Linked DNA regions of Rhinolophus ferrumequinum. The main gene of each other region encodes a partner of the protein of the gene in region 2 in a complex. Links are inferred from orthologs where the notes say so. Each region holds a gene or a part of one and is shown on either strand. Other genes may lie near its edges. The genes, in order: CNOT11 and CNOT6.

Region 1 (8,168 bases), on a different chromosome or scaffold from region 2:
AAGAGTTCCCTTGGGGGTGCCAGCATCAGCTGGGAAAGAAAAAATTTTTCTGGTGGAGTTATAGGAGGCAAAAATCCTGCAAACAAAGATGTACAATGATTAATTTTTAAAACTTAACATGAATCTGGTAAAATTAGCATTTGCTACTTGCCGTCTCGATTCACATATTTTCAAAACAAAATTATAATTAAGTTCAAGTTTCAATCATAATTAACTAAATATATACTTTTATTAAAGGTAATTAAATACGTCATTGGAAATGCTATGATTTGTGGCAGTATCAATGAAAACAAGGTTTTTGTAACTATTAAGAACTTTGTTTTTCACATGCCTCAATCCCTGCAAAGGCTAAAGCTTACATATGCAAGCAAAAACAAGTAAGAGAACTCCAGCACTTAGGAATGCTTTTTTTTCTTCTCTGCTGCTGCAGCCACTGCAGAGGTTGAAAAGAAGGAAGCAATCACCAATAACGCAAATACACTTCACACACCTGCTTCAATACAGTGACTGGTTCCTTTGGCCCCGTATTAACTGTTCACCATCCATCCTCCTGCAGCGTCACCAGACTCCGGTGACTCCGTTCCCTCCTCGCCATTCCCTCTCCCTCCTCTCTTGCCTGGACTATAGGACAGCCTTCCTGGTTTCCAAAGCAACCCCTTTTGACTCCTGACCCACCTACAGTCCACACCCCCACTTACCATTCTGCTATATTTCTAGGCACAAAACTGCTCACGTTACTTAACCTGTTTACACAGAATTAAACCCAAACTTCTGCACCATTTGAAAACCCTTCGTAACCTGCTCTGACCCCCTTTCCCGATCTCATCTCTTGAATTCCCCTCCAATGCCTGTATCCTACACTCCAGCTGCACAAAATCAGCTTCTCTGATTCTGGATTTCAAAACATCCAACAGAGCAAGTTCTTTGAAGAATACCTGGCAGGGCCACCCCTTTTCCTCCCCGCCACCATCTCTAACAGTTACACACTGGAGTTTGCTCTGTGCTACTGAGCATTTGGTATGTGACATGTAGTACAGCCCTTACCACACTGTGTTATGACTATGTTTATGTCTCCCCAACCAGCCTACACGCTTCTTGGGCACAGGGAAGCCTTCTGATTTACTTCCAGATACATTCTCAACCCTGGCTCTGCATGAGAATCATCTGAAAAACTTTTAAAAATACACTCCTTAGACACTCTAGGTGTACAATGTCATGAGCTTTGGCACCGATATTCCATTTATTTTTAAGCACCATCCCTACCTGCTTTAATGAAAGTAATGATGATAATGGGTAATACTTATTGTGACTACTTTTATTCCTAATAACTCTACCAGCAAGGAATTACCGGCATTTTACAGACGTAGAAACTGAGGCATAGAGAGGTGAAATAAGCCATCCATGGATTCCTTCCCTGGCCCATTTGTTTACAACGCAGTCTACAGTCTAGATCTAGGTTTCGACTCATTGCATTTGAGAACGACAGTATATAAATCATGGTTCTTTTGTCTAGCTCATGCAAAGAATTCAAAGGGCCCTGTGACCTAAATCCGTCAGTGTCCCCATCCTCTATGGGCTCCGTATGGAGGTGGGTTTTGACCACTCATACACATATTGCATTCACTTTCTGAGTATTCTCAAACTTCAGGACTGTACCCTAGGGGCATCTCACCCAACAAAAAAGTTGCCCCTCGTGGATAAGGGCAGTGCAGGAAACAAACCAGAAGACGCTCTAGATCCAGAGGGATGTCAGGCAGGACGACAGACTAGCTTAAAATGTAAAAGCCCTCCTGCACCATGAAAAACTGCATGGTATTAGCTCAAAATCTGCTGTCTTAGCCTTTTGACTCCTTGTAAAGCAGCCCTGCCTATAGAGTGATTTGCCCTTTACCCACGGGTGAAGGACACCAGGTTAAGGACTGGAAGATCAAGCTGTTTCCCACCTCTAACTACCTGGGCGTCCCCCATGACACTGGTCCTTCTCTAAGTCTTCCAGGTACCGTTATACTTGTCACCATCCCCTCTGTGCCTTTCTCCTCTCCTGGCTGCAAGTCTTCTCCCAAAGTCAAGTCTCATAAAGCATCTCTTGAGTTAAAAATAAAATTAAATAAGAGGCAGCCTCGCATGGGGCCACTGATCTGATCTTACCAATGTTGCACACAGTTCACATAATGCGTTTTCTGACCTCGGCGGTGAATTTGAAACTATCTATCCTCTGCTCCCATCACATTATCCAAGGGCACCTAACAGTCCAACAAAGATGGCTGCAAAGTCCTTAAAAGCTGTTTAATGTGTTTCCACCCAAAACTTCGGGTTCTGAACAATGGCCTCTACTTACTCGTCTGAAAGTTAAAGCCAGGGACAGATCGGTGGGTCACTAGTTACAATTTCACACCCCTCAGACAAGCTTTACAAGAACGAACTGTATTTAAGGTACTAAAAATGTCAAGCCCCCCACTGCGCTGCATAATTTGAACGGCCTGTACTACTGAGAAAAATCATCTTCGATGCCATGAACTTGTAATTAAGCTACCACTTCTCCATACTTTAAAGGTGGGGGAGGCAGAGATAATTTCAAAAGGAGAGCTCATTTCACTTTCGGGGCAATTTCCGACAGCGCAGGTGGAAAACCGACGAACCTAACTATCCACAACGCACACCGGGCTCCGGGAGCGAAGGGCCGGCCGCGGCGCTTACCCGAGAGCGGTGGCCGGTCCGGCTCCTGGCCGCCGCGGGCGGGCGGCGCGGGGTTGAGCAGGTGCGCGAAGCTGGCGGCGAAGGGGTTGGCGGCCAGCGGCTCGGTGCGGTACATCTCCCACAGCAGGTAGAGCGCCGTGAGGCGCTGCGCCGCGCTGGGCAGCAGGTCCGGCTGCTGCAGGAGCATCACGAGCACAGAGCCCAGGCGGAAGTGGTCAGCCTTGCTGAAGTAGTGGTGGAAGGCGGTGGACAGGCCCTCGAAGGTGGTGCCGCCGCCCGCCTCCTCCGAGATGATGCTCAGCAGGCTCGAGAGCTCCTTCGGGGTCAGGCTCATCCTGCCCGCAGGGCCCCCCGGGCCTCCACTGCCCGGCCCGGGGCCTCCTGCTCCGCCTCTGCCGCCGCTGCCGGAGACCCCCGGGCCGCTCCTGGACGCCGCCCCCACCGCTTCTCGGGCCCCTCTTTGCTCCGCAGCGGTCAGAAGCCGGCCAGACGCCGCGCTCGCCCCGCCGCCGGGCATCAACCTCTCTCGCCTGTCCCGCTTCCCGGCCGGAGTGGCCCTAACGCCGGCTCGCTCCGTCCCGCGGCCGTAAAGCGCGCTGTTACACGACAGCGTCGCAAACCAAACTCGTCGGGGAAGCCAGGGCGTCGCAAAGGGCTGGGCAGCGCGGAGCGAAAGCGAGGCTGGTGGAGCGAAGCCAAGGAGAGGATCCGGAGATGGGGTGGGCGGGGTCAAGAGGCCGGAAGTGGGGGCGGGCCTGCACGGTTCCGCTCAAAAACTGCGGGGGTCTACGTGTTGAGGAGTGAGTTCCCGGCGGAGTTCCGGGCACCAGGTGGTCCCACTAGCTGGGGGCTACATTGTTTGGAAAAGTGCGTCTTAGATTGTAAATGGTTTTCTTAATATGACATACATGACTCTTGGTGGTAAAAAAAAAAAAGTTAAGTGCAAGTCACTAACACATTACTCATAATCAAAGTTAATTTCCAGTTTTACACTCCTTTTTGCAGAAATGGAATCATATTGCACAGGAGCGTTTGTACATCGTATTTTAACAAGATTTAGGAGGAATGTTTCCAGTAAATATTTACAAAATTGTGCAACTTTTTACATAGTTTGCCCTAGGACGCTGATTCTGGGCCTTGGCTGCTTGTTGGAAGCCCCAGGGCGTCTAAAAATGCTAGTGCCTGGTCCCACCCCCAGAGATGTTGACTCAGGTATTACAAAACAAAAACCAATCACCTCCCCAGGTGACTAGCATGCACTCTGGTCTGAGAACCACCTTGTTTCCCAGACTTGCCCAGCTTCTCCCTGGATCCACAGAAACCTACAGGCACATTTCACCATTAGTTCCCACCAGGTGAGTTTGGGAAATCCAGTGTGCACTAAACAGTGCTAGCAGTTTAAGAATTATTAAATTAAGCACCAACTTAATTGTAAAGTAAAATTGAAGGGAGAGAAATTGCTGCGTGACCACCAGCATATTCTAAAGGCTTCTTTAATTTACTGCTAGATTACCCTCTAGAAAGTTCCTGCCAATTGACATTCTTAATAGCAACTGTTAAAAAACAAAATTTAAATCTGAAGATCTAATTGGTTTCATTGAGCAGATTCATGAACCAGGCAGCATCCCATCTAGTAGTAAATAACAGAGAAGTGCTCCAAGGGGCTGTACAAAATTGAAGGTTTTTATAGGAAACTGAGTGGGACAAGAAAGTTATTAGCAAAAGAAAACAAAGATTGTTTCAGGCAAGGTCATCTATCTTTGGAGGAAGGCTGACAGGGTTCTTATCAGACAGATTACCTCACAAGTGTTGATCAGGAAATTCCAGACTGATTGGTTTATGATCACATTCCTGAGCCTACATATGTAAGTTTAACTTTTTTTTTTAAGATGTTTCAAAATATTGAAACATTATAATAACCCGCCTCTACCCCCAGAACTTGTGAAAGAGAAAACCACATGCCAAAATGGCATCACTCATGCTAAAAGCCCATGATACCAAACCTTGATTTAATACCTGACCTAATTGCTGTTTCAACCTCTCTCAGAAATGTAATCTTAATCAACCAGTCTGGAATTTTCTGGTCAAGCACCAGCAAGGTAATCTTTCCCTCAGTCATCTCCATTCCCCCATAGAAAGAAGAGGCAATCAGCATGATAAAAACTCTTTCTCATTCTCTTTCCCCTCAAAAAATGGCCCAGCCCCAAAACAATCCTTTTTTTCCTTCTATCAATAGCTCCCTTGGCCTACCATTCCTGTAAAAGCCTTCCATTTTGCACATTCCCTCTGAGTGGCCTTCTAGTGGATAGATGGGATGTTGCCCGATTCATGAATTGCTTAATAAAGCCAATTAGATCTTCAAATGTACTTGACGTTTGCTTTTTAACAAACTGCTTTTCTTTAGGAACACTTTCAAAATTAAGATGATAGCCAGAGCTTCCTACATATTCCCTGAAAACAACTCTCAGGCCCTGAATTAGTTTCCTGGTAACCACAAGCTGGGTGGCTTAACCCAATGGAAATGTGTTCTCTCACAGCTCTGGAGGCTAAAAGTCCAAAATGAAGGGGTCAGGAGAGCCATGCTCCTTCTAAAGGCTCTAGGGAAGAATTCCCGCTTGTCTCTTCCCAGCTTCTGGTGGTTGTCAGCAGTCTCTGGTGTCCCTGGTCTTATGGCTGCACCATTCCAACCTCTGCCTCTGAGGTCACTTAGCCTTCTTCCTCGTGTGTGTGTTTCATATGACCTTCTTATGAGGAAACCAGTCATTGGATGTACGGCCCACCCTAATCCAGTATGACCTCATCTTTACTAATTATATCTACCAAGACCCCATTTCCAAATAAGGTCACATGCTGAACTTCCAGGTGGATATGAATTTTGAGTGACACTATTCACCCCAGTAGAGGCCCTAAGTTCTCCTGAGCATATGGCTTGGTAGTTCTTCTTCACATCCAACTCATTTCTACCTTTATATTTGTTAACCTAAAAATAAAAGGCCCAAGTGAGAGACAGCAAACATTTATTTGAGACCAAAAGAATAGCAATTTGGGAAACACTGATGCAGACAGAACCCCAAATAGTGTTCCTATCAGGAGATTTGGAGGCAAAGGCATGGGGTGTTTATGAGAAACGGACAGGACAGGCACATCAATAGAAGGAAGGCATTTCTATTGGTGAAGGTAACCAAACAACAGAGTGATGTTCATTCTAAACAATGTTTATAATTTTCAGTCCAGTTGTTATCAGTCATAATATCTGCTTTCTTGTTCTCTCTCCAAATTCTTCTTTGGTCTTGTCTACTCCACTGGCTGGGGACCCTGACTTGAGTTTGCCAGATCCTTTAGGGTTTGGAGCTCAGTTATGGCTGCCTGTAGAGTTGGTCAGTGTGGGGACAGAGCCCCAGAGAGCAGTTTCCAGGCTCTCGGCCTCATGCGGAAAGGTGCTGGCTCAGGTAGTAGATGGCCGTCAGCTGTGGCTGGTTGGCCGTCGGCTGTAACCATTGAGCCATTGGCCACTAATATAACTGCCGTGGCTGCGTTGGGGAGTCGAGGAGAGTGGAGGGAGGTCAGAGAGTCGGTCGGTTGGCAGAAAAGCGGACAGCAGGTCGCAGGTCGTGTGAATCCAGCCTCCAGTGAGACTATAATGGTATGACTCCCCTTCCTATGGCTCCGTGGGTGTTCCTTTTTGGCCTCACCATGTCCTGCATTCTTCTTGTGTGGGGAGCGGGAGCTGAGACCCCGCCTGTCACCCCGCGTGACAGTCAGTTTTCCCCAGCTGGCTCCAGGACTGGCAGGTCAGAGCTTATTGTAGTTCTGTGGTCTAGAGCTATCAATATGACCCAAGATGAGGGTGGGACTGCTTAGGACACTGAACACGTAAAGGTAAGACATCTTTGGCCTAATTTTTAAATTAATACTAGAAAGAATGTCAGTATTTCAGAGATCTTTGTACTACGTGGATGAGGTGCCTTGAGAATTCAACTTTTACTGATGAGGTTAGCAGATTAGATCTAATGATATAGCAAGGGTCCCAAATCATTTGATTTCATTGTAACTGTTGGTCAGTCCTGAAGATGGAGCTCATTGTTGGCATTGGCAGGCTCAACATGTCCATGGCATACACAGCCATGTCAGTCACTTTTTTTCTCAGATCTAAGCTTTTTTGATGCTCTCACGTTTCCTCCTTTTCTTCCAACGATCAGCCTCTGAAGGGGTAGACAGCAAAAATCCAGAGATCAAAGCATGCACAGGCATCCTGGCCACCGTTGTACCATGCACGTATGTGACATTTTGCCTCCAGTCATGCTGGTCATAGTAGACAGCGCAATGCCAAGATAACTTTAGATCACACATACCAAATTGAGTACATCTAGGACATAGCAAGACTCATCAGCTTCTCCTCTGAATATTGAGTTGGCTTTTGCAGAAAGCAAGTCACACATTTATTATAATAAATAATAACCCCCACCCCGAGTTTCCTTTCCTGGGTAACAGAGAAAATCCACAGGAAAGCGTCCCCCTGCCTCATCTGATCTATCCTGAGAAAGAGGGGAGTTTTCTTTTCTTTTTTCTTTTCTTTCTTTTTTTTTAAAGAATTAATCTTTCTTTGTGGATTGTTTTAGCATATTTATTATAGGGCCTGTAATTTAGGAAAACCTCTAATCTTAGTCTCTAAATGGCTGGTGGGGCTTTCAGAAAAATAATTTGGTAATATGCACTAAGAGTCTGAAAAATATTGATATCCTTTTGTCTAAATAATTCTATTTCTGAAAGGCTATCTTAAAGAAATAAGAATCAGGAAAGCCCTTTTGGACGAGATAGTCACAGCATTTATTGTCATCAGCAACACCTAAATGTCCAACAATAGGGAATAACTACAGCAAATCTACCAGCAGGAATATTGTAAATGTTGTTTACACAGTTTAAACATGTAAATGTTGTTTACACAGTAAATCCATCTGTGGAGTACTACTCAGCAAATAAAAATGAATGGACTGTTGGATGGATCTGAAGAGAATTCTGCTGGGTGAAAAAAAGCCATTCTCAAAGGTCACACATTTATGATTCCATTTATATAACGTTCTTGCAATAACAACATTTTAGAGATAAAAAAAATAGGTTAATGGTTTCCAGAGATTAGGGATGGTTGGGAGCAGAGAGATGGGCGTGACTCCAACAGGGTCGCAGGAGGGAGCTTTGTGGTGATGGAACACTTCTGTATCTGAATTGCAATGGTAGCTACATAGGTGTACAAACGTGATAAAATTGCATAGAACTACACAGGTCCATTGTAACAGTGCTTATTTCCTAGTTGTCGTTGTGTACTCTAATTATGTAAGATGTTGTTACCATTGAGAGAAGCTGGGTGAAGAGTACAGGGGAACTGTCCCTACTTTTTTTTTTTTTTTTTTGCAATTTCCTGTGAATCTACAATTATTTCAAAATAAGAAGTTAAAAATAAAATAGCAACATTC
Region 2 (7,170 bases):
AAATCAACATGGAGAGGAGCAGAGTGCATTAGCCTCTAGATTAGCCCCTGAAGCTGATAGACTCTTTCTGGCCTTTTACAGTGATTAGACCCAACTAACTCCTTTCTTTTCTTAAAGCTGTTTGAGATGGTTTTTCAATCAATTGCAGGCTAATATAGTGGGCCCAGAGACAAAGGACACTCTGGGGAGATCTGACTGGGACCTGCAAGTTCATCTGTTAGACTGGGTCCTCTCTGAGAAAAACTGGAGGCCTCACCAGTGCTGGCCCTGGTCAGCAAGTCTCCACCCTGAAAGGAGGCGTCAGACTGTCAGAGCTGAGTGGCTCCACAGGGCCCACAGTTCAGGCTCACCAAGCACCCTCTGGCAAGACCGGTTTGCCATGTGCTTTCCCACTGGGAGACGTGGATCTTCCACTGTAAGCATTCGGGTCTCACCGTGGTTGGGTTTATCTTGCAAATAAACCTTGGAGCCTGCATCAGTTCGCCATCTCCTGTGCATTTTAGTTACTGCAGCCACTCTGAGCAATGCTCCCCATCTCCGGGGACCTTGGCAAGTCCAATTGCTGGACCCACAAAGTTATGGTCCACATCCTACACCGACCTTGAGTTTGAATTCCAGACACGCCTGCAAAATAGACACCACAGCCACATCAACAGGCATGGCCACCTCTTGGTTGTCCATCTTCGTTATTTATCCTCCTATCCACTAGCCAATACATTTACTAAGCATCAAATGAGAAGTATTTTGATTGCAAGTGACAGAAGCCTAACCTTAACTTAAGCAAAAAATGAACTTATTGGCTCATGTACCTGGACTAGATCATAGGATAAAAGGGAAAACTATCAAAATCAGGATTTTGGCACCTGGTACCAAGGCTCTGTCACCAAGACGATCTCTCTTCATCTCTCTCTCATCTCTCCATGTGTTGGGAAGATGCACTGGCTGCCACCAACTCATACTGTCCCAGTTTAGGACCCCAGTGGTATGAGAACTCTTCCCACATCCACATAGCAAATCCCAGGTTGGTTACATGCCCACCACTGGGCCTGAGGGTCAAGGTGTTCAGAACAGAGGAAGGAACTGCGAAAGCCTGTGAGTGGAAAAGACTCAAAAGCAGCCCCAGTTGGCGGCATGGGGGCAACATGATTTAGATTGGAGTGGCTCACAGCCTGGCAGGGAGAATGCTATCTTTGCTGAGTGCCCTGATGGCAGGAAAGGGGCCCGGAGCCTGAGGAGACAGGAACCAACTCTGCTGGGAAGCCTTCCCTGAGAAGGCCTGAGGTGGAATCTGCTCCCCTCCTTCTGGCCACCCCAATTCCCCAAGGGATGGTCCTTCCCTGCTCTCAATACATCTACTTCATGCAGGGCTGACCTCACACCTGGCTGCAGGGAGTAAGACCAGAGCTCTGGTCAGGCCAGTGAGAGCTGCCCTGGGTTCTTGCTAAAACGATGAGGAAAGAAATTCTCAAGAGGAGAAGCTGGTAGAATCTACGCCTGCCTGTCGTAGTGGCCATCTCTCCTGCCTGGCTACACAACCTGTGTGAAGAAGCCAGTGGGGAGGAGAGCAGAGTGAAAGGTGGAGGGGTGAGATTGTTCTGGATGGCATCTTATTATGCCTGAACTTTTCAGTTATGTGACACCTGAATATGCAAATGATCTCTTTCTGCAAAAAGTCTACTTGAGTTGGGGTTTTATAACAATGCAATGGGAAGTCTTGGCTCACATGAAAGGCACGATTTGGATCTGCAAAGGTGAGAGGCTTTTCTAGGGTTTTCTTCAGATATTCAGAAAGAACAGGACGTGCACAGGCAGGGCCACCACTGGTACCCTCCCTGTGGGTTCCCCCAATCTATCAGATGGCCCCCCAAAACTCTGTCCCTCCCTGTACATACATGCAGCTCCTGTGTTGCTTATGTCCTCTCCTCTTGAATCTGGACTGGGCTTTGATGCTATGACTAACAGACTCCTGAAGTGACATCCTTCAGAAGGCCTGGCAGCTTCCACTTGCTCCCTCGTGGAGCCCTGGGTTGCCATTCAACAAGTCCAAGATCTCCTGCCGGAGAGAGAAACCACAAAGAAAAGCTGAGGATGAGATACAACACAGAAAAAGACCTCACTGGGGGCACCAAGGTGCCAGACATCCAACCCCCAGCCACCATCTCACTAGAGGCATGAGAGCCCAAGTGAGACCAACAGAATTGTCTAGCTGGGCACAGTTATGTCTATCATGAGCTATAATAAACTAGTTTACACCACTGAGTTTTTTGTTATGCGGCTGGACGTCCCCTCCACCATACATATTGCGCCAACCACAAAAAGTAGCTCCCTCTGGGCAGCTGAATTATAAAAAAGGGACCCCTCTGTCCAGGCTGGAGCACAGGTTGCCAGGGCACAGCACTCACATGGAGGCAGAGGACCAGCTGGATGTACAGCAGATTGCTTAACCCTAGACTCAGTAGCCTGGGTTTGGAGGATACAGAGGGATGCCCACAGGCCAGTCTGCACTTGCTCTTTTCAACCCCTAACCCCTGCTGCCCTGTTCTTGTCCAGTGTCCTATGGCACTAGAGGACTGGGCTGTCATGTTGATTTCTTGGAAAATGGCAGGCAGGAACCATCCCCAGGCCATGCTGGGGAGAGACAAGCACAGAACCTCGGCAGCCTCTGTCCCTCAATCTTTTCCTTGCTCTTCCAGCTCTACCTTTGCCCCAACAGCAGCCACCCGTTTCCATATACTCTAGCCCAAGACAGCCTTTGGTGGGGGTGTCTTACTTTACCGCTATTGCTACTTACCAGAACCCATTTCACTTGTATTTCTTCAGGGTTGATATCTCAGGGGGGAGCCCATCCTAGTTTGCCATGTAGATGAGAGGATGGCTACTCCTTTTCCCCTCATGCCATGCCTGTCTGCCTCTCTACTGGATTTTAAGTCTGTTGGCTGTTTCTCTTGCCTCCAGACTATGAGCTTGCTCGGGGCAGAGTGGGGCCTGCTTCATCTCTCTGCCCTGGCCCCAGCACAAAGCCTGGCCATATAAGTTAAGGTGTCCACCCCATCGTCAGCCAGTCCAGTCTTTCCTCTGCTCGCCTTCAGTCACCACCTGAATAGAACGCCTCCATGTCTGAACGCAGATGCTGACGATTACTCCAGCTAGAATCCCACCACACGAACCGTCCCTCAATTACTGGACTGAATGACCATTGATGGAGCGCAACGGGCCATTAAGTAATTTTTTCAGCATATTTGAGGGAAGAAAACTCATATGACTGTTCACGATTGAATGTCTCATCTTTAGGCAAATCAAGATACTGGCTAAGGTCAAAAGTCTGAGAGCTAGTCCATGTTTCCATGTGATTGACAGGCAAAACGGAGGGGAGGAAGATCAAAGAAAAAGAGGGAAGAGAGGAGACAAAAGTGAACAGCCCGAGACAAATAAAAGAGAGCTGGATGAAAACCAGAGCAGCCGTTAAAAAGAGGAAAAAAGAGAAGTGACGGGAACGACGGGAATGAGGAGAGCGGGAAGAGGAGCGGGAGGGAGGGCCGGGAGCGCGCCGGGCCGGACCACCGTCCCCAAGGGCGGGGGTGGAGGGGCGGGGCCTGGGGCAGCGCGTGCAGGAAGAAACCCCTCCCGGCGCCGAATGGTTGCGCCCGGTGGCGGCGGCCAATGGGCGGCCGGGATGTTGGAGAGGCGGCGGCGGTCGGGGCGCTCGCTGGCTGGGAGACGGCGGCCGCCGCCATGATGCTTGTTTGCTTTCAATGAAAGCGAGGGGGGCGCGGAGGAGGAGGCGGCGGCGTCGGTGGCGGCGGCGTCGGCGGCGCGGAGGCGAAGGCGGCGGCGGGCACAGCGAGGAGGGCGAGGCCGGGGCCCGAGAGGGCAGGAGGGCATAGTGGCGGCCGGTCGGGGCAGCTGAGACGGGCGGCTGAGGCGGTGGCGCTCGGAGGGGGAACAAAGAGCGGCGGCCGAGGCGGCGGCGGCGGCGCTGCGGCAGCGGGCGGGACTGGTATGGTGGTTCCACAGGTCAGACCCCGCTGCACTCACAGGGAGGAGGCGGCAGCGGCGGCGGAGGTCGGCGCACCCCGAGAGGTGAGCGAGATGGCCCAAGCCCGCCGGGCAGCTCCCGCACTGGCTGTTCACGGGCCCCGCTCGGTCGTGCCCCCGGGGCACGCGGGGAGCGGGCAACTTGAGCTTGGCGAGCGGCGGGCCCGTAGCTGGGCTGAGTTGGCGGCTGTTGAGGCCCCCAAGATACGTTGCGATCGCGCAGCGCCGGGAGTCGCTCCCCCACGCCCAAACCGGGGGTGGGGGGCGTTGATTGACGGCGGGCGCGGCGGCGCGCAGGGGCGGGGCGGGGGCGCGCTGGCCCTCGGACCCCGGCGCGGGTCCCCGGGAGGAGGCGAGTCGGTGTCCGAGACTCGCGGCCGGGATGGGTGGCAACTTTGGAGGAGTGGCTGTGGGATTGCGCGCTGCAGAGTGTGGAACCTCGCAAAGCGGGAAACCGACTGTTTACCCCCTCCCCCAAAAGTGTTTACAATTCAGTTTAACGCAGATTTTGGGGGAGTGGGTGGGAATGACATGGTTAAAGAATCGCTTAGCACCGAATGAAAAGATTTATGGTATTGCTAAGGTAAGGACTCGGAGTAGTTCTAGTGACTTGAAGCAGTTTTCTCCAGTAACCGGAGTTCGTTCTCTCCCCCTCTCCCCCTCTCCCCCTCCCCCCTCCTCCCCCCTGCCCCCCTCCTCCCCCCTCCCCCCCTCCCCCTCTCCTCCTCACACTCCCCACAATACGGAAACTTTTTTCTTTGACTCTTCCTCCACCTTCCCCAAAGAGCCTGCTAACTAACGCCGGTAACCTTTTTATTTAACTGTTACTGCAAATGACAACATTGTGAATGGTCATCTTGCTGGACCTTCCTGGATTTGTTATTGTGTTAAGCTGACATTGTTTCAATAATCTGCTTGAATTTGAGTTCCCATATTTACCTGTTTTCCAGGTGGATTGTCCTATTAGTGCTACTGCGGAATCTTCTTGCTTCCTTGTTTCTGGGAATTTAATTTTGAAGAGAAGAGAATTTTGGAGAGGAAGTGAAAAATAAAATGGCATGTAATAACACTTTGTGTTTTTCACAATACACTGACTGGGATTTACCATTCCAAACCAGTTTTGTAGGTTGTAGGAGCTGATACAGCCGTTGGTCAAGGTTTTGAAGACTTTTTTTGGTAATTGCTGTCAGCAGTTGTCACTGTCTTTAGAATGTCATGACTTTTAGAATAAAAATTGCTTAATATTTTTAGACGAGTGATCTAGTCCAGTCGACTTGCTTTAAACAAAATATTTGAGTAAGTGCTGATGAGGAAAGACCTAGAAGGTTAAAGTGACTGGCCCAAACATATTACAGTTAAGAGGGACCAGGTTGTGTATGAATATGAGAGCAAATGAGAATGTAATTGCTGGAGAGTATAGTTCTTTGGGGAGGGCAGAGGGTGTTTTAATGGATTGAAGTTATTTGAGGTAGTTGAGTCTGGTCAGTTCTCAGGTGAACATGACAGTGAAATGGTCAAAAACGAAGATGTGACAAAAGTGTCTCGATCAGTGGTAATGTAAATGAAGAAGCCCTTTTAAATGTCTGTTTGATTTTGTAGGTATCTTCAGGTATCTTAAATCTTGGGGGCAGAGTACTGTTACTGGGAAATTTCAGACTAGTTTCTTTTAAAGAGATGAGGGTGGTTATAGAACTCGATCCTGACAACAAATAAAGGTGTTGTAGGAATCTACCTCCTCTACCTGTAGTTTATAAATATGTGCTTTGGTTAATACTTAGGCATCGTGCTATACCCATATGAGCCTTATTATATTCTTTAAAGCATACACCGTTTTCATATGCAACGTTTTCATATGTAACGCAAACAGGAATAAAGGCCCAAGGACTGCTCACAGCTGAGGGTGGGGGCGCCGACATCTTCAGCACACTTGTACTTTTTCCATGTGCAAGGCACACTAGGGAAAGCTCTGCTTTTAAAGTGTTTATCACTTTGGAAAAGTCTAAATAGGCTCAGCTAAGAACATACTCTAATGGAGAAAAGAAAGACGTGGATTTGTGGGTATGTAATGCTATTAATTACACTTTTGTTGTGGTTGGAACTTAATGTTACTGTCTTGGGAAAGTTCCAATTTTAATTTTCAAATCCTTAGCTTCCACAAAATCTTTTATCCATGTACTTTTTTCTTTCATCTTAACTGCTGCTCATTTTAGGAAGGTAGCCATTTTAGGACAGTGTGATTAACAAAACACTATGTATGTGAAATTAAGAAATGCTGAATAAACTGTAAAACTTACTGTATGCATAGCCTGTGTTCATTAGAGTACAATGAAATGCACTATATTTTGGTATTTGAAGTAGTAATTAAAGAGGAGAAGGTCGTTTGCCTCTAAGATGGGGCCTCATTTAGGCTGCCTTAATCTTACTCCCTCATCCCTTTATATTTTCTTGATAGCTTAAGTTACATATCGAGGAATAGTTATGCTGGACCCTGAGAATGCAAAACTGAATACTCAAGTTTCTGCCTGGGTGTAGTTTAATAGGCTTAGTAGGTGTACCAAGTTCTGTGGGAGAATAGAAGAGAAAATGGTTGTATTTGTGGAAGGTGTGGAAGCAGTTTACAGAAAATAACAGAGAAAAGGTGTTTGTCCAACTGGGGATAAGGGGTCATTTCAAACAGAAGGAACCATGGGTGCACTGAGGTGCCAAGTGTTGGGGTGAGGTCAATGGTGAGATGTTACCGGAATAGGGAGACTGACTAGAGATGAACCTGCAAAAAAGTATGTCTGGCCTAGATTTTGAAAGACCCTGCTTGCTAAGCTAAAAGTGAGGTTTATATCTTTATCCTATAGAAAAGGAGGGAGCCAAAATATTTTTAGTGGGGGCATAAGGTGATTTAAAGATCACTGTCATCAGTGTGGAGGATTGAGCCAAGGCCCTACATGTAAAAGTCACATTTGAGATAGTGTGGAGTGAGTGGTTCTGAATCTATTTTTAACTTGGGTATATAGTGTCTTGTGTCTGGTCCCTTTTCTGTTGGGCTTGAGGGCTCTGCCCAATTGCTCTGTAATACGGGGTAATTTAAAATAAAAATGCCAGGATGTTTTGGAAGAAGTTAAAGGAGTCAAAACAATGAAA

Evidence for each region.
Region 1: CNOT6 (region 2) and CNOT11 share a complex: the UniProt entries of both Homo sapiens proteins name them as parts of the CCR4-NOT complex. The link is inferred for Rhinolophus ferrumequinum from reciprocal best matches to the Homo sapiens genes CNOT6 and CNOT11.

What each region holds. Positions count from the first base shown.
Region 1 is NC_046296.1:3,473,240-3,481,407, forward strand, and holds the start of CNOT11 (CCR4-NOT transcription complex subunit 11), read right to left. Parts: upstream 3,291-8,168; 5' UTR 3,215-3,290; coding exon 2,698-3,214; intron 77-2,697; coding exon 1-76. UniProt on the Homo sapiens protein: Component of the CCR4-NOT complex which is one of the major cellular mRNA deadenylases and is linked to various cellular processes including bulk mRNA degradation, miRNA-mediated repression, translational repression during translational initiation and general transcription regulation.
Region 2 is NC_046307.1:3,498,269-3,505,438, forward strand, and holds the start of CNOT6 (CCR4-NOT transcription complex subunit 6), read left to right. Parts: upstream 1-3,918; 5' UTR 3,919-4,080; intron 4,081-4,985; 5' UTR 4,986-5,088; coding exon 5,089-5,095; intron 5,096-7,170. UniProt on the Homo sapiens protein: Poly(A) nuclease with 3'-5' RNase activity.